3 linked regions of the Tribolium castaneum genome follow. The protein of the gene in region 3 interacts with the protein of the main gene of each other region in a pairwise test. Links are inferred from orthologs where the notes say so. Each region holds a gene or a part of one and is shown on either strand. Other genes may lie near its edges.

Region 1 (5,644 bases), on a different chromosome or scaffold from region 3:
ACTGTGATATTTTGCAAGTTTGTTGTTTTGAGAAAACGGACGAAATACACCGAACTCACGGCTCCGATCAAGATCAAAATCACGGCGATTAGGACATAAGTCGCGTACATTTTGCCAAAAACGGACCGATTGTTGCAAGTTGAAAAATCGAACTGAAGCGTTCTACCCTCATTCGGTGTCTAATGGGTGTTATGTGGGCTTGAAGTATGTTATCCGTGGTTTATTACGTTTTAATTTGAAAACAGTTATTGATAAACTACCGTTCAAACGTATCAAGACGATTTTTTACTGGCTTCCGAACTTCCGATGCCTCGGTGTTTTTTAATTTGTAATAGATATCAACTGTGCTATCTGAGTTATTCCAGGATTGAATCGTGAATATTTGTAATTTGTTATCTAATTAGTAATTAGTCAGCGAGCGAAGCAAATACGTTTTAATTACTCGCTCAATTAATTATGTATTTTTTGAAAAATTTCGCCAAAAATTTAACATTTTGGCCCGCACTCTAGAGAAACTGGCTAGCAATAAGTGTGTCGGGAAAGTGAACTTATCAAAATACTTTCCAAATTTCGAAAATTATCAAAATGGATTTTGAGGCCGCCGTTTTTGTTTGTAAATTGCAGGTATGCCTATCAGAAGAGCAGCCGATCCGATCACCGTCCAACATGTGTGGGATGCAATTCGATCGGCGGTTCTGCAGCGCCAAATGGCCGATTCGAAACGAATAATAAAATATTTGCAACGCGTGGACAACTGTACCTACGCCCAAGCCGAATTATACGTGCAACAGACGCATCAAGACGGACTGATTGTGTTAGTAGCGAAACAAATTAAATAAATACACACCCTAATTTTAGCTCCGACAGGGCCTTACAGAAAGTAACCAAAACGTCAAAAGGGGACTTGGTGGACAGCTTTCGGATACCTACACACGAAGTGGTACGTGATTTTTTTTTAATATTGTTGTTTGATTAAAATTATTAGCCGCCCTTGGACGGGAAAGACTGGTATTGCTTCGAATGCCACCTCGCCGGTGATGTGACCGCCTGCCAACAGTGTTTCCGCGTTTTCCATGCGGACTGTGTCCCAAACGGCCGTCTCAAGTTCCAGGAATATAAGAAAACTAATATTCTTTATGACCAGTTGAGTAAATCAGGGGTGAAGGATGAGTCGACGAGTAATTCAGTGAATTCGATTAATATTTCGTCGGATTCCGACGACTTGAATGCGAGTGAGTTGAGTACTTACAAATTTAATAACAACGGACAAATGAAAAGTGATGCGCTTGAGTATGACGAAACGTTGTGCAGCATGTGCAACGTTTCCAAGCTGGACGATGGCTGTAATTTAGAAAAGTCTGAACTGAATTATCTCCTTAAATTTGTAATACACAGGATTCAGTCTTGGGTAAACATTCCAACTCGATAGAAAATTTAATTAGGGAGTGATTGCAGTTGCCGCACACTTTAACACACACCATGGCCCAGCAAGAGCGGCCCGAGTGGCTAACAGACAAGGAGCTGAGTTGGCGGGCAAACCAGCTATTTTTCGAACACAGAGACATGTCCGTCATTGAGGTGAACCTAAATAACGAGTCGTACACGAAACTGTACCAATTTCTCGCCGATGTTTTAACAATCCAACACAACGTTGCGATTTTTCACGGAAGTATGTCCAAATAATTGTTGTTTCTTTACCATTTGTTCGCAGTTGAGTCGCAGGAATACGGGGCTGCGGAACTTATGATTAGAGACTGCATGCACGACCTGACCGAGTTGAAACTTTGCGTTGATTGTTACCGCCATAGTAATGAGAAAATTAACGCTAAGTGGTTCTGTTTGCCGTGCAGAGTGCCTCATAAGTTAGTTTGGGCCAAACAAAAGGGCTACCCCTATTGGCCTGCTAAAGTGGGTAGATGGTCGCTTATATGTGTTTAGTAATTCCGCGTTTTAGGTGATTCAAGAGACGAGCACGCATTTTGATGTTAGGTTTTTTGGGGGTAAATACGAAAGGTCGCTTCTGATCAAATCGTTAATTAAACCGATTGAAACGCCGCAATCGAAGTTGCAAATAAAGACGTCTTCGGCGTTTAACAAGGCGGTGGAGGAGTTAAGGTTCCATCAGCGCTTGATGCAGAACCCTGACGAGCTCCAGAAGTTGATCAGTTCGTCGAAAAACAGGGTCAGGAGTTTAAATAAGCAGCGAATTTCGACGTTGAAGAAGTCGCTTAATAGTTCACTGGAAGTGAAAAAGAGAAATTCATTTGAAATGAATGATGTTTACAAGTTTGAGGATAATCCATTCGGTCAGCAAAATTTAAGCCTAACGCATAAACGTAAAAGCAGTTTTTGTGAAGGTAATTTCGTTGTCTTGTGTTACTTGCGTCTTATTTGATTAATTAGGAAGTCCCGTGTCGAAAAAAAATTCAACTAGTTCCGTGGAGAAAAACGAGGAAGTTCACAATACTTCCGATAGCGTTATACACATATCAGACGGCGAAGACGATGAGTATCCCTATTACGATTATTCATCGGTTTCTAATACAAAGTAAATATGTGTGTCAGGTGTTTCCGAGTTTAATTTTTTTATTGTTAGCTATAATGGTTCATATGAGCAAGTTTCAAGTTCCACTGAAAATTACAGATTCCAGGACAGAAGCCAGGAAAATGGGATGCAGCAACTTGATCACCCTTATAGTGATTCAGTTGAAAAGGTTTGCTAATAAGCGACGTTACAGTAACTTGCTCACGGTTGGTTTGTAGATGAGAAGAAGACTTGAATGTGTGAGTGATAAAAAAGAGCTTATAAAGTGTGCAATGGACTGTATGCAAAGTGAGATTGATCAAATTACAAATAATCACAATGATCATTTGAAAAGGTTGTTTGAGTCCCACAATGCGCAGATATCGGAGATTAAGAAAAAGCAATGGGTAAGAAAGATTGGCCAAAATGAGCGGTTGTAATTCATTCATTTCCAGTGCTATAATTGCGAACAGGAAGCCATTTATCATTGTTGCTGGAACACGGCGTATTGTTCCCAAAGTTGTCAACAACAGCACTGGCAAGCAGAACATAAAAAAGTTTGCAGGCGTAAGCGCTAGTTTCATACAAAAATTAAAAAATGTTATTTTGTGTATTATCTATTTTTATAGTTTGTTTATCCTCTAATATCATTATGTAGAGTAATGGGAACATTGGCGTAATTTTCATTGTTTTGGTACTTTTTAGGACCAAGTTACGAAAGTACAATTCTAGTTAACTTTTTAATTGTAGGCAATAACTTGAGTTGTAAGAGTTTATCACATAGTGTTGTTGAAACTTCCAAATCATTTTTAAACGTTGTATCACAATTGAAAGTTATGCCACTACTTCATTGTTTGTTCTTATTTTATGGTTTAAAATAGTATTGCTTATAAATTTTATGTATTTGCAACGGAAGATACAATAAATGGCAAACGACCTGTTCTTTTATCTGCAGCTTTGTTAAATTATATGCATGTACAAATAAAGCCCTTATTTCTTGGTGCGTTTTTCATTCATCAGTCACTTCCACAAACTCAACGTTTTGGAAAGCATTGGCAATATTATTGTGTTTCTCCAAAAACTGCAGCTCTTCCATTGATAACTGTTCCCCCAGTTGTCTCAATGCAGTTAATATTTCAGCCTAGAAAAATGAATAAGTAATCACGTCTGAAATTGCTAGGTAAATGACCTTTTGTCTGTTAGTAGCTTCATCACTCAATTTATTAAGTTTACACTCTTGCTCAATACTGGATAATCGTTCTCTCAACTGCTTTGGTTCTCTTTTGCCAAAAAGTCTGATAACCTCTGGCGTTTTAAACGCTTCTGATATGGCAGCTTGTGTGGCCTTGAAAAATCGTATTTGATTTTTTGAAAAAATAAAGAACTGTTTTTACAAGTTGTACGGCTCCGAGGGCACTAACAAGTGAGATATCGCCTTTGACTAGTTTCGATAAGCTATCGTTTAATTCCTTTAACTGATCCATCGTGTCCTGTTTAGTCTCCTCATATTCCTCCGGGTCTAAATCCGCTCTAAAAATGCAGTTTCATCATTCGGGAGCATTGAAACGCGGTGACGACTAACTTGCAATTTTCTAAATCTCCCAGTTGTTCGACTAGTCTGTCCAGTTGATTTTCCAAATTTTGTTTCAGTTTCGCGGTTTCGACTTTTCCATAGGAGGTCATTTTGGTTGATTTGCAACTCAATTACTGGAAATTTGCATTTTTTTGTAGGTTAGATCAATTTCTGGACAATGCCCGTTATTTTTTCAAGTGAGCGGTTGGGTTAACTTTCGACGTACGGCGTGTTTGGTGTTTTTGTTGTTGGTGGGGGTTAAGTGAGAGAGGGACGCCGGGCGTGCGTCTTTGCTAAGGAAAAATTGTTTTAGTTGTGTAATTTTCCGTTGGGTGCGCTAGGTGTGCTTTTCTAGCAACGTGAAAGCCGCGTGTCAGTTTTAATAAAGTTGTAAGTTTAATTTAAATTTGAAGAAGTGACATTGGTTAAATTCGAGTTCGCATTAAGTTCGGGAGTGTGGAGGCTGTTGTCCGAATAGTGCAAGCACGGCCCGGAGTGCGTCACGAAACTAAAGAAAACAATCATGTTTTTGGGTTAAAAGTCCGCCATCTTGAAACATATCTTAACCTTTGATTAGTAATAGTGGTAGTGTTATCTAAGTGACGATTTCGAAAAATCCAGCATCATCAACATCGAATTTCGGTCTTTGGGTGCGACGATGTTGCGAAGCTTGTGAACTGGCCGGAAATGTGTGTTGTGCTGTCAGTTCTGAACATATGCAGTCGCTGAGAACGGATACGCGGCGGCCTCTGTGAGGGACGCGGCGCCCCAGGGCTGACATGAGCGGCAACCAGAAGCAGACAGCCGGGAGGGGGCCCCAAAACCAGGCCTACTCCACCACACTGTATCCTTTGAGTTACGCCCATCTGTCACCCGACTGTCATCCCCCCTGTCTTAATTGTTGCTGGCGCTGCATTGTTTTGAGTAGAATGTGAACGCCAGGCTGGTAAACTTTCATTAGTTCACATTCACCTGTCTATGCAGGCCACCAACCGCAGTCATTACCAATCCATATGGTGTTCCACACAAATCACGCCCAATAATTACAATTCGCGATTTGTTTCAATTTCGAACTCGCGTGACGGGGCTCCAGCTTGTTGCATCACTATGTGAAAAGTGAAGTGGTGGCATTGGATGTCAAGCGAATTCGCTGCTCTTTCCCTGATTTAATTACATAATTGTGTGTCATATTGCCACGCACGATAAACGCAGGTAAGGTCAGGTGTGACTTCGCCCTAGTTCATTACCGACACCTCCTGGTTCGGTTTCGAGTGCCTTTTTACCAAATGTTTTTTTGCTGGGTTTTCCCCGAATTTTTTTAAAAATGACCAGTTGAATGCGATGGTTGATGGTTGATCCGGAGTTGTGGTTGCGCATGCGTTCCCATTGTTCCTGGCGGCGGAACCAGGAACCAAGTCCCCAATGTTGCCAGGTCTGGTGATCTTTCACCAGATTTGGTGACTTTGATGCCAATCTTGTGAAATTCTGTGATTTTTGGCAACGGAAAATTTTAATCTATTAATTTATTCTGGATTACCTTTTAGCAT
Region 2 (6,103 bases), on a different chromosome or scaffold from region 3:
ATTGTTGCAGCAGGGCCGCGACGAGCGAGGTTCTTTTGGCGGACGGCTTCCTTGATCCGGTCCACCTCGTATTGATATCTGAAAAAAAAAACAAAACATTTATTGGCGATTTTGCCGTAATTGAGAAAAATGTGAGCGCCAACCTTTTGCGATCCCTCATGGCGCCCTCCTTGGCCTCCTTGAGCGCCGTCTCCAGCGCCTTCACCCTCTCCATGGTCGCCCTTAGCCTCTTCTCCAGCTTGGGCAACTCGCACCTCAAATCGGCATTATCTCTCACAAGTTGCTTATGCACTTTGGTCAACTGGTCCAAATTATTCTCCAAAAACGAGATTTTCTGTTTCTGGGCCAACGAACCGCCGTCTTCTTCGTTATCTTCAGCCGAGAGATTTTTCTTCATCCGTGCCTACAACAGCATTGTTTCACCACTCGTCGCTACGTCGCTCGTACCCACCTGTAAGTCCTGGACGAATAATTTTCGGAGATTGTGAAGGGTTTGCAACTCCTTGGCGACGGTGTCTTCCAATCCTCGGAGGTCTTTCCGTGCTTGTTCGCGTCGTTCGTTCGTGGTACTGCAGAATATTATCCATCAGCGTTTCAGCATTCAAGCCACACCACGCTCACGGATTTGTTTGGTCAGGTTTTATTTGTGTCGTCACACGACAACCAAAAATATTACGCTTACTACTCGACAAAAACCAAAACGAAAACAATACAAACACATAACACAGACAGGTCGTCTAGGTTTAGAAATAGTCAACAATTTCAACTACGAGAAATTCAAAAATAATTGCCTTTAAAATATGCAACGATTTTTTATACACTATTGCTAACACTCTCTTATTTACATTATTATTATCATACAACAATACTACAAGACCACTTAGATCCAAAGTTTGAGCTCGCTATTGTCGTTTTTTTTAATTTTTGATTCGTTTTTATACAGTGATATGCAAAACCGGTAACAAGCCGCGATTTAATAATAAAAAAAATGTTACAAAACTCGAAAAACTTGAATAAAATCTTGCACTAAATAATGCCCTGATTTTGTTTTATCTAATGTTCCAAATTTTGATTTTATTTTTATATTCAATCAAGTTTCCAGAATTTTTTTGTGGTTTTTCTCAGTTTAAGTTTAAATTTAAAACATTTCTTCATCGTTTGCTATATTTCAAAAACTAATCAGTTTTTGATATGAAATATATTTTTTTTATTTGTTTTTGAACAGACTCACCTTGATCCACCTTCTATAGACTTTAGATAAATTCAACAAAAGAAAAATAAGTAATAATTAAAAATTTGCCATTTTGCGACAGTATAACTTGGCAATAGCAAGATATACGTAGTCACTGGCTGTATCAGCATTTTTGTTTTTATTAAATCGGGCTTTCCGCGGCTCCTTTTAGTTAAATGGCCTCATCACAAAGCAAAAATACAAAATACTGTGCTGTTTTGTTTCGTAACCACTGACTAGTTAGTCACACGTGTATCAACTATAAAATAAAACTCAAAACCAAACAGTGGCGTGATGTGACTATGCCAAAAAATGTTTAAAAAAATAAAAAATAATACTACGCAATATTTTTCAAAATAAATCACAGGAAAAATCACTTTTCAAAGGAATGGATTAGTTTCAAATCGAAATGCACCAAATTATCACAATATAATAAAATCGCCCGCGACTAGATTTAGACAACGACTAGATATTGTGGACACCTATGTGTGACCAATAACAAAGTTAGGGAAATAAACAAATGCAAATGGAACGTATGTATGTGAAAAATCGACATCGAGCATTGATTTTTCGCCAATTTTGTGAAACTATTCAACGCGTCTTTTGCATGTTTAGGCACTGGATCGACATAAGGCAAAAATTTCTCCCAATCGGGACTTGAAGGATGAGGTAAGAGTTTTGTGGCGGATTTGGGGGAACACGGGAATGAGCGTTTACACTTTACTGACATGAGCTCCTGCAATTTCTGCGACTTTTCGGCTTCTTCCGACTTGACTTTCTCGTATTCAGACTGCAACTGTTGCTGGGCGAGCGACAACTTCTGGTTCGAACTGTGAAAAAACAAATCAAAACAAAACAAAAAACACATGACGTAACACACTCTTTGATATCGTTGATCAATTGCTGCTTTTCGGCGATTTCGTCGCGTAACGCCGCCACTTGCTTCTGATGAGCGACACGTAATTGGTCCATTTGCTGCTCGAGAGCCAATCGCAGCTCGTTCGCTTCCTTCTTCTCGCTCTCGCTGGCGCTCGAAACCTGCAAAAACGTTAATCTAGCAACCTGTAAACACTCTTTTTTTCTTTTAATTTCGAGATGTTTTGAATTGTATTTCTCTCTCGAATTAAAAAACTTACTTGTTCAGCGGCCTTCAACTTCGCACACTCCTCCCTCAAGGCATCAACACTCTCCTCCAGCATCCGCTTCTTGTTCTCAGCTTCGCGCATCGACTCTTGTAGACTCTTCATCCTGGCCTCGTGTTGCGAAATCAACAACCTACACTCCCCCAACTCCTTCTCATACTCCGTGACCTTCTTGTTACTATCCTGTTCCTTGTTTTCAATTTCGTGCAATCGCTGCGTCAAATTCGTAACTTCACTCTTCATCCGCGAAATATACAAACGTGCAACCGTAAACTCCTCCTCCAGCTTAGCCGCATCATTGGAGATCTTAATCTCGGACCCGTCACTCCCCAAAGTCGACCCAATCTCGCCCAACTCCTTCAGCAAATTGCTCAACATCTCGGCGATTCGCTTCTTTTGATGACTCGACATGTCCCGCAATTGCTGCAATTCGGTGGTCGTGGTATTCAAGCTGGCTTGCTTCTGCATCAGCTCCTCGGACAGGGTTTCCATCTCCTTGTTCTTGGCGTCCACTTCTTGCGACTTTTGGTCGTAGTTAACGGCCAGTTCTTCAAGCGCTTGCAGGACTTCCTTGACCTCCTCCTTGGCACTCTCATTCTCCTGCTGGATTCGGTTCATTTCCGCTTGGAGCGCTTCGTAGTCGCGTCGCGTGCTTGCAATCAACTCGTCCTGTTCCAACATCTGCTCCTTGAGTTTCTCAACGTATTGGCTTTGCTCGTTGATCTCTTCGTCTTTTTCGTCCAGTTGTTGGTAGAGTCGCTCGCGTTCCAGCTCCAGTTTCCTGCGTTCTTCCACATCGAGGGTTGAGCCGATCATGAGGGCTGGGGTTGCCGGGACAGGTCCCTGTTTCTCCACTGTGCTTTCCTCCATTCCAGAGACAGGAGTCACAGCTTCGGTTAGTTCGTTCAAGTTGACTTGTTCCTCGGCTTTGACCGTTTCTCCAGCCCTCCAACGTTGCAACTCGCTCTCAAGTTTCTCAACTTTGCCTTTAAGACGCGCCACTTTTTCCTTTTCTTTTTCGTAGCGACGTTTCCATTCTTCGGCCGTGAGTTCCTCATTGACACAGACGACGTTTTTAACAGTTTTGGCTCGTTTGCCGAAATCGAGCGTCGATTTCGTCTCGGATTCGTTGAAACTCGCTGGAGAACAACAAATCACAATTGTTGTTCGGGCGTTTCCGCCCAAGGATTCTTGCAGGATTCTTGTTAGTTTAGAGTCACGGTAAGGTATGTGTGTTTTGTTTCCGTCGGCTAAAGCACTGATCACGTTACCAAGGGCCGAAAGTGACTTGTTAATGTTTTTGGCTTCGTCTAGCACTGTTCCTTCAGCCCCGGTTTTGGAGACTTTTTCCGAACCAGCCAAATCGACCAAATACAATTTCCCCGAAAGTTTTTTCTGATTTTCTAGATTCTCTTGCTTGACGTTTATCAAAAATACTGAGTGTGATCGAGACGAGTGCTCGTTCATGTTTGTCACAGCGATGTGTCGGTTGGATTTGCCTTCTTCAATCGATTCGAAAACCTCCTCAGGACTTGAGACGAACCGTTCGGTGGCACCTTTCACGTAAGGAACTCGGTTTTTGTCCTCGTGGACCGATAAATTCACTTTGGAAACGTCCAATAAATCCCTAATTTTGTCCATGTAGATTTCAAAATACGAAACCTTGATGTGAAACTCAAGATTCTCTTCCATTGCGTAAATATGATTGAAGATATCGTTGACTATGCGGGGTATTATACCCTGTTTTTGTGGATCACCTATTACGCCTTCCATCGTGTGGGTTTTACCCGACGAGGTTTGTCCATAGGCGAAGATTGTGCCGTTATAACCGGCCAAAACATCGGACACGATGCTCTTGGCCGCCTCATTGTACACTTTTTCTTGAGTTGCATTCGGTTTGAATACCTTGTCGAATAAGTAGACTTTACCCTGAAAGAACAATTACATGAAACACTTCCTCAAAGTGTGAGTCATAATCGGGAAAAAATTGACCCGGTTTGTTTACAACACTCGGATCAATAATTAAGGTTTTACGTAATAGCCAATTATGCGGAGCGACGTTCGAAATGTGGAACAGTTTTTGACCGAATTATCATTCGTTTTCTGCGCTTTATCTCACATAGAATATGAAGAAAGTAAAAAACCGGACACCCGACCAAAAAAATTTTTGCAGCTGTGCCTTTTCCTATGTTTAAAAATTAAATAAAACTAAATAAAAATACCAAGTTTTTATTTAGGTTTCATATTAAAGGCAAATACAATACAACAATAATTCAAATAATTTTACAAGAAGTGTAACAAAACGTGTAAAAAATGGACTTCCTGAAAGTCGCTATAAAAAAATTGAGGTTTAATACCGGGTTTCACTGTTTTTTTTCGTTGTATTTCAGTTAAATAGTAGTTAAAAAAATTAAAAATAAAAAACACAGCATTTTTTCTTTTGACCGATATTTAATTTAATACAGGGATATTTTTTATTAGCATTGAATATTAAATTATAAATAAATGTGACAGGTACTAAAAATCTAGAAAATTTAATAAGAGAAAACAGTGACTCACCTTATACTTTCCATTTAGTGTGTTTTACTTATGATCATAAACTAAAAAGTTAAATTTTTTTTTCGAAAAAATTCAAAATTTGTCCAGAACTGCAAAAAAATCGTAAAATATCTTGGTTTTTATCAATTGACATAAAAACTATTATCAGAAAATCATCGCAAACTATTTTAATACCTGACATCACTTTCTAACGCGTCACGACCAATTTTCTACGAAAATAAACAAATAAAACCGACAGTTATTTCCTGATTCATCTCATTTATAATTAACTTAACCAGGCGAGACTTCGAGATATGCAAGATTAAAAACAGACAGTAGCAATTGTAACTTAAATATCAGAATCGTGACTTTGCAAAACGAGATTAAATAATTTTTTAAAGTTACAACACATTGATTTTTTGATACGATCGTTCCGTACATCTATTTATAAAACAACGGTGTAATTGCTTTTATCAGAGCTTGAAATTTGATTTCTTTTAAATAATTCATAAAACGCGTCCTGGATTTGTGTACAATGTTGCAAAACAGAAGAGAGGACCTAAATAGAACGAACGCTCGGTCAAGGGCAGAGCCTGATTATTGATTGTGAAGAAAACGGAACACTCCGCAAAAGAGAGAATGTAAACAAAGTCTGAAAAATTAAAAAAAAACAACGCGAAAACGAAGCAATCAATCCAGCGTTAATCGAAAGCAACGGCAAAACAATTAATCGATCACTTTAGGTAAAAAGCTTGACAAAAATACGTTCTCATTATCTTATTAAATATTGAAATAATAATTTCCCCTCCCCTTTGAAGATAATTACATCACAGAAAAAGGTTCAACGCTCTGTAAGAACTATCGATTGGTTACTTTTGGTCGTAGGTTGTGAATAGAATAGTGAAAATAACACTACCTACTTCCACCAAACACGCGACCGAATCCTACAGCAATACGCCTCTAATTTTTTTAATCTTAAAACGATGGAAAGTCGAACACAATGCAAAATTAATCACCCGAACGAATTAGCGCTTTCTTCGCCCACAGAACGAACGCATTTCTAGCTTTCTTGCACATCCGAATAATAAACCAAGCAGAAACAAAAGTGTGAACGTGTGCACCCTCATGGATTATTTCCTTCTCTCGACTTATCCTTGATCGATCCGATGTTTTTTAACGAAATTAATTAACC
Region 3 (6,981 bases):
TTAAGATTTGCGCTCACCATCGATTGTTCCGAACTCGCGCTCGTGTGCCCGGTTCAGGATTTGCTTGTATAGGACTTCGGCTTCTTTGTACTTGCCCTGCTTCAAATAGCAAGAAGCCAGATTGTTCATTGTTTTGCTGACGTTGGGGTCGTCGGGGCCCAGCCGCTTCTCGTAAATCTCCAGCGCGCGCTGGTAATACTTCTCCACCTCCTCGTATTTGCCCTATGACCAACATAAAATAAATTGATCAAAGCTTTTTTTTTTGGACAAGTCGTTCAAACATGATTTATCGTGCGTTATGCAAAGTTTCCTTTACCTGATTCTGGCAGAGCAAAGCGAGGTTGTTCAGCTGTTTGGCGACGTCGGGATGGTCGCGCCCTAGCACTTTCTCTCGTATGTCTAAGGCGCGTTTGCACAGAGGCTCGGCCTCCTTGTACTTGCCCCTTTTCCCGTACAAAACAGCCAAATTGTTAAGAGTGGCAGCGACGGCCGGATGGTTCTCCCCCAAAGTTTTCTCGCGAATTGCCAAAGCATCGTTTAACAAATTCGCCGCCTCTTTGTACTTATTTTGATCCCGATAGACCAAAGCTAGGATATTCAGCATCGTGGCGACGTCTGGATGGTCATGTCCGCTTGTTTTTTCCAAATCCTCCAGTGCCTGCTTGCATAACGGCACAGCCACTTCGTACCGTCCTTGAGAGGCGTATTGAATCACCAAGTTATGCAGCGTGCGAAGTCGTGCCGGAATTTCATATCCGGCATTCACTTGTTGTGAAAGTTGCAATTGATTGGGTGGCGTTGGTGACATATCTTTAAAAGAACACAAAAGATTGTCATTTTTTTCCACCCTTTACAATTTCGTAAACCTACTATTTCGATCCTCGTTATCATCGTCTGGGAAAAGATCGACGACCGGATCTGGTTTTTCGCTTCGTGAGTGCTCGCTAGTGTTGTCGTCGTTGACGTCCTGATCGTATTTACTAACGGAGCTCATAAATTCCAAATGACGTTTTTCTTCTTCTAATTGGGCCACGGTCTGTTCGCTTGCTTGGAGTCTTTGTTGGGTGGAGGCCAATTCGTCTCTTAACCATGCGTTTTCTTGGCATAAGCGACGCACTTGAGTTCGCAGTTTTTGTTTTTCGGCCTCGATTAATTGGAGGTGGTTGGCCAAGGCCATTATCACCTGAAGGAGAAATTTACTTGCCTTAAAATGCGACATTTCTACCAATTAATGCGTTTCCCTGGAAGCAAAATCCCTTTCACGGTGTTTAAATTCACAAATTTAATTACTTTCATTGATTTTGAGTAACAATTTAAAAAATCAGTGAGGAGACTTGTCCAAGGACAGTTCGAACACGCGACTTTTTTTCGTTACAAGAGACTATAATTATTGTATTTTTGTGGTCAGTGGTTTCATTTTTAAAATCAGGCATCAGCAGGAGTTAATTATGTCAGAAAGAAAAAATTCAGTTTAATAAGTAAATTAACAAACAAAAGCGAATTATTTTTATGACACTTGCTACAATAAGACGATGAAATTATCTCAATTTTACGATCGGCTTAAATTAATTTGATTACAGGCTGCCAAACGAAGAACTTTTTAGTGTTAATTTAACAATTATTTACCGAAACAGGCCATCATGTTATACAAAAAATATCGAACATACTTGAGGCACCAAGTTTTTTACAGCCCTATAACCAAAGCCATAAAAACTTGTTTTTCCTGGAAACCAAGAACGAAAAACAACGTTTGAATAAAAAACGTGGAAATAGAAAAACAAAAGGATAGGGTGAGGACATAAAAACCGCAATAAACATCATCAATAATCATCCCACGAGATTTAAAGCTCGATGAGCAGAAAGAAAGTCTAATTGATACAGATTTTAATTTGTAAACACCCAATTTTTGTTAAGAAATATGGTAAAAGTATAATGATTTAACAATAATAATTGTTGTTTCGTCACCTTCAAAAGTATCATTCAAAAGATATTTAAGACACTTGGAAGTATTGTGAATATTATTGAAGCAAATTCATGAATAAACTCATCACCAAACTTATTATTCTTATGCATGTAATGACAGTGATGACGTTATTACAAGCAAATGAGATTTTTATGAACAATCAACAATAAAACTGAATATTGTACTTTGGTCTCAATAATTATTTTTTAAATTTTTTAATTAAAATCGTGGGTACACAATCTAATGACAATATAATTTTTGGGTAGGTTGTGAAATAATATCATATGTAATTTACTCAAGACCGGTATAAACTGACTTATAAGAAGATTTTTTTCAGTTTTAATCAGGTATTTTTATCTGTAATTATAGAAGAAAACTTCAAGTTCTAGGTCAAATTTACCATTTAACTTTTAAATTGCATGGTTTGTTACAGTTAAATAATTGTTAGTTTCTACAACTCGTAATCCAAGTACGACTTTCACAATTTTTAATTATTTATTTATTTTTTTTTTCAAATAAAACAAATTAAACCCGGAATTAGGCCGCCATTTCTTTTTTATCTCTCATTCAAAACAAACAAACAATCATTTCATGGTTTATTACAACCCAATCTCTTATCTTAATCCTCCAATTATAATCGATTGGCATCTGAAATCCCGTCGAAAATAATAGAACCGCGACAAAATAAATTAAATCCAATTTTAGAAAGTCATCAATTGGCTTCGACACTCTCCTTCCTTTTCCTTCCCTCCCCACTCGCCTTAGTATGAGTCATCGGTGCTCCCCGATCGATGCAATCGGGTGCCCCTTTCGTCTCTCACACACCGACGATTTTATCTGATTAGAAAGAAAAATAGAACATACTTGCGCTTCTCCCAGTCCCAATTCGATCATTTCTGCACTTTGTTGCACCAGACCGGCGCGTTCATTGGCCACCGGATCGGGGGCTTCGTGGAGGCCATGGAGGATGCCGGCGTGCTCTGAGCGGAGCGCCTCCAACCCCTGAGCCACCGTTCGCACAGCTGAGACGATCTCTTCCTGCGACATCGCCGTCATTTTTCCCAAACTTTCAATTTTCTTACTGGAAATAAACGACAACTTCAAGGAAGTGGCGGCGGAATTATGCCACAATTAGGTTAGAAATTTGTAGAAAAAACGCCGGATTTCAAGTAGCACAAACGAAAGGCAAGCAAGACCGCCACAAGAACACAAAAGCTTGAACTGAAAACAAAACCAACTTACATCCTATACGCGTTGATCGTTTTAGACATGTTTTTTCGAATGCGTCCTCTTAATTCCAATGAGCACCTCGTTCATCACCTCACGATCGTTTAAATTGAGCGTCTATACAAAAACCTTATTTATATTTTTGATTATTGTAAAAGTGCAAGGCGTTATCACAAGACGGAATATGAGACAATGCAAAAATATATTTTTGGTCAACGATCACCCCCGCAATCAATAATAAGGCCCCCTAGAACATCACGCCGCCTTCCCTTTCCACCCCATAGCTCGAAAAAGGGTGTGCCACTTTCGGTAAAAACGCGAAAACTGACGTCGGTGCATCAAACGTACTGCGTCGCGACGCCGCGCCTGCGCCCCATAGCCCGACGAACCCCATCAGAAATTTGCACCCCTTTCGATCGGAAACCAATACACGTGTGACGGCGGGGGCGTACACTCCGAGCCGTGACTCACGCCCGATTTTTACAGGGGCGCTTCCTCGTTACTTTGCCAAGCGTGACGATTGAAAAATACTTACGTGTTGCTATCATCCATGCCACGGGAATGCACTGCTCACCTGCTATGGCAATCAGTAGACCATAGCGTAACCTGCGACATAAATAAATCACAAAAATTGACCAACGGAAGGAAGGACACCGACACTTGAACTGTGCCCCCAAACGATCGGGGGGACGCTTACTCACCTTTATTTGGCAGCCAAGCGTTAAAACACTCAAATTGGGCTATTTTTGACACTGCAATCACTTTCTTCTGACATTAATGGCTGCGCTTTTGATAACTCTCTTCTCATTCCTTTTTCTCTCAGTGTTAGAAGAGTGACAGATGATTGCCAAATCAGGGGCGCCACCTACCGGGTGCCACTAAGCCGGGTTAAAGTAACACAAATCAGGGTTCTGGCTTGCAAAACACACCCCAGTAATTAATTAAACACTTTGCCGAAACGACTGTGGACAAATTTAGAGGGCAAAGCCCGTTTTAGCCGATTTTTTCGTGTCAATTTAGGGATTTAAGTTTTGTCCGGTTGCGGGTGCGCACCTGTGAGTTCGTCGAAAAGTCAGGCGACTATCTGCATATGGCGATTCAGTAAAGTAGCAGCAATTTAGCTGTGTTGTTGGTTTTTCCCCCAATTGTGCCTTCAAACTGGCATTTTAATTAGTTTAGTACTTTGTCTGACGTGTCGTCTAATTGTTTGAGCGTTAATTCGGTCATAGATGGTCCGTGGAAGGTGCTACAAATAAAAGGTGAGATCACGTTACATGCATACTTTTTGCTTATTTTTTCTGCCTAAAAATAAATCAAACTCGGTGTTTTTGCAGCAAACTCCAGCCGGACACTTTCCTTGATCGACCCTTGAACGGACCTTTTTCTTTAGTTTTTGCTTCTGTGGGAGTCATCGTCCAGAAGGGCGCTACCATTTTATATGACTTTAGTAAGCCACAAAGGTAGGTGATAGCGTTATCAGTTCGATTTTTGCAGTAAAAGCATGACGTAACATCCAATTTCCATAAACAATCGAGCACGCTTTTTATTTTTTTTTGTACGAAGGCAGCGCTGGTGTCACGTGACTGCGCGGTCTGTTCAAATAAACCAGTGGAGGCGTGTTTGCGGGGTTTGTAATTTTCCGGGCGAGCAGTGGCGTGCGCTATAAAAATAATCGTGTCGCATTGTGGTGATCGATATGGCCGTGGCATTGCGCCGGTTCGACGACATCGATTCGCGCCGCGACGCTTACGTGGCCTCAGTCTCGGTGCGCGCCCTGAAAAACCTCAACATAACTGCTCTCCAAGCCACGACCGAGGGGCAAACGGCCTCCCCCATGCCCATGCTGTCGCCTTTCCACGATGGTGAGACCCGTAAGTTAAGTAGGCAATGATGGTCTGGCACATGTCAAAAAATTTTCGTCAAATGTAGTTCCGTTCGAAATTTTTCATCGTCTCGATGTACCACCGACCTATTATGGTACTTAATTATCACGAAACGGACGGTTTTGTCGCATTTTCAATGGTCACGCAACCAGTTTATTACCGCAAGTTGTGATTACAAACAGACCATATGGTAACCGGAAAACAGGCAGATTCGATGCGAATTTTGCGTTAAAGGTAAGATGGGGGCCTTTCCGGAGCCGGGGCTCCGGGATAGGGATGCGCCGGCGCGTGACGTCACCACGTCTCTCGATTTATTTCCTTGTTAACTGTTTTTAAAGTGACCCAGTGTCATTTAGAAAAAAATTCATGAATTTGCTGACGGGTTCGCTGCCGCTCTGCCCCATAATGTGAGTTTTATTACACAATTTGTGCCGTTTTATTCACTCGAAAGCACGCTAACGCCGGTTAGATAACAACATTTGCATAAAACGATTAAGTTGCGCACGAAATTAGGTACAAAAATTCAAGCCGATTGTCAAATTTCTCGTACGTATGCTGATTTTACCCTTAATGCAGTTGGAAAACAGAATATTGCAGATTTACTAAGTACGTTTTTTTTGCTTTTATGCACTTACGGGGAACTAAAACTAGAAGGCGAAACGAGACAAAAAATTTAGTGCGGTGGAAAAAATTCTTCAAAACGCTGAGAATAAAAAAGTGTAAAGAAACAGTTGTACGGGATTAAGGCCGTGTCGCTATCTTTAACGGTGTCGGATCTAAAAATGTTTTTTTAGGGCCATTTTATTCTGAGTTACAACTTTATAGCTAAAATTAAATAGAAATATTTTAAAAGCAAAAAGATAACGCTGTTAATATTTACCATTTACAATGATTTTACGTTTTTTAATGGAATTTTTTATGTATCTTTGAAATTTATGGCTTAAAATTCAGCACGGCATGGCCGATTAATTTAGCAATTTCGGTTTATTTTATATCATTAAGCGTAAAACAAGATTGATAACGAAGTTGCTTATTCTGAATCTCGTTGCATGAGTGAAATTAACACGAATTGTTTCTTCCAGAGACATTATTAACCAAAAGCATAGTTGGGAGTTTAGGGCCCGAGCCAGCGAGGTGTATGACTTCGCAGCGACGTGAGCCCACCTGTTATAGGACGACAAAATTTTCATCGACAAATAGGCATCGGAAACTCCAGCCCTTCAGAGAAACGTGACTGACGTCCGAATTGCGAAAAACAGCAGCAAAAATTCTTTCACCACCAGTAATCAAAATAATAAAATCACCGCAACCATTGACATTAAAATCGTCGTTGGTACGCCACTGGCACCACAACCATGGGCAGCGTCAACGTCAATCGCAGCGTCAGCGATGTCTTTTATCGCTACAAGATGCCCCGGCTGATGGCCAAAGTGGAGGGCAAAGGTAACGGCATCAAAACGGTCATTGTTAATATGGCCGAAGTGGCCAAGGCCCTAGGCCGACCCCCCACCTATCCGACGAAGTACTTTGGCTGCGAGTTGGGCGCTCAGACTCAATTCGATTTCAAAAACGAAAGATTTATCGTCAATGGATCGCACGATGCGGGCAAACTACAAGACCTACTCGATGGCTTCATCCGGAAGTAAGTAAACCAAACTCGAAAAAATATCTTTAATTCAAAAAATAAAAAAAATAGATTCGTTTTGTGTCCCGAATGTGAGAACCCTGAAACCGAGCTGCTTGTCTCCACCAAACGCAGCACCATTTCTCAAGGTTGCAAGGCATGTGGCTACCACGGCCCGCTAGAATCCAACCATAAATTGGTCACTTTTATTTTGAAAAATCCGCCAAATTTAAATCCTGCCGTTCAGGGCTCGTCATTGACTGAAGGTAAGAGATCAAAGAGGA

The links. The genes of interacting proteins can lie anywhere in the genome.
Region 1: the proteins of Klc (region 3) and zinc finger MYND domain-containing protein 11 interact in a two-hybrid assay, tested with the Drosophila melanogaster proteins (2 studies listed by BioGRID). The link is inferred for Tribolium castaneum from reciprocal best matches to the Drosophila melanogaster genes Klc and CG8569.
Region 2: the proteins of Klc (region 3) and Khc interact in binary tests that used the Drosophila melanogaster proteins (3 or more experiments, as listed by UniProt). The link is inferred for Tribolium castaneum from reciprocal best matches to the Drosophila melanogaster genes Klc and Khc.

Annotation. Positions count from the first base shown.
Region 1 is NC_087398.1:12,804,553-12,810,196, forward strand, and holds the end of zinc finger MYND domain-containing protein 11, read left to right. Parts: intron 1-624; 5' UTR 625-626; coding exon 627-814; intron 815-858; coding exon 859-940; intron 941-985; coding exon 986-1,408; intron 1,409-1,455; coding exon 1,456-1,669; intron 1,670-1,711; coding exon 1,712-1,908; intron 1,909-1,954; coding exon 1,955-2,357; intron 2,358-2,403; coding exon 2,404-2,548; intron 2,549-2,596; coding exon 2,597-2,714; intron 2,715-2,763; coding exon 2,764-2,931; intron 2,932-2,979; coding exon 2,980-3,102; 3' UTR 3,103-3,523; downstream 3,524-5,644. Other genes in the region: protein LZIC, read right to left, coding at 3,534-3,665, 3,714-3,869, 3,919-4,054, 4,107-4,207; eukaryotic translation initiation factor 4 gamma 3, read left to right, coding at 4,877-4,941.
Region 2 is NC_087395.1:25,845,341-25,851,443, reverse strand, and holds part of Khc (kinesin heavy chain), read right to left. Parts: intron 4,303-6,103; coding exon 2,368-4,302; intron 2,270-2,367; coding exon 2,112-2,269; intron 2,062-2,111; coding exon 1,960-2,061; intron 570-1,959; coding exon 452-569; intron 404-451; coding exon 144-403; intron 79-143; coding exon 1-78. UniProt on the Drosophila melanogaster protein: Kinesin is a microtubule-associated force-producing protein that may play a role in organelle transport. Milt and Miro form an essential protein complex that links Khc to mitochondria for light chain-independent, anterograde transport of mitochondria.
Region 3 is NC_087402.1:3,658,451-3,665,431, reverse strand, and holds the start of Klc (kinesin light chain), read right to left. Parts: upstream 3,769-6,981; 5' UTR 3,743-3,768; coding exon of another isoform or gene 3,726-3,742; intron 3,308-3,725; 5' UTR 3,235-3,307; coding exon 3,206-3,234; intron 3,045-3,205; coding exon 2,828-3,044; intron 1,184-2,827; coding exon 871-1,183; intron 811-870; coding exon 317-810; intron 223-316; coding exon 18-222; intron 1-17. Other genes in the region: eIF5 (eukaryotic translation initiation factor 5), read left to right, coding at 6,429-6,715, 6,770-6,981. UniProt on the Drosophila melanogaster protein: Kinesin is a microtubule-associated force-producing protein that may play a role in organelle transport. The light chain may function in coupling of cargo to the heavy chain or in the modulation of its ATPase activity.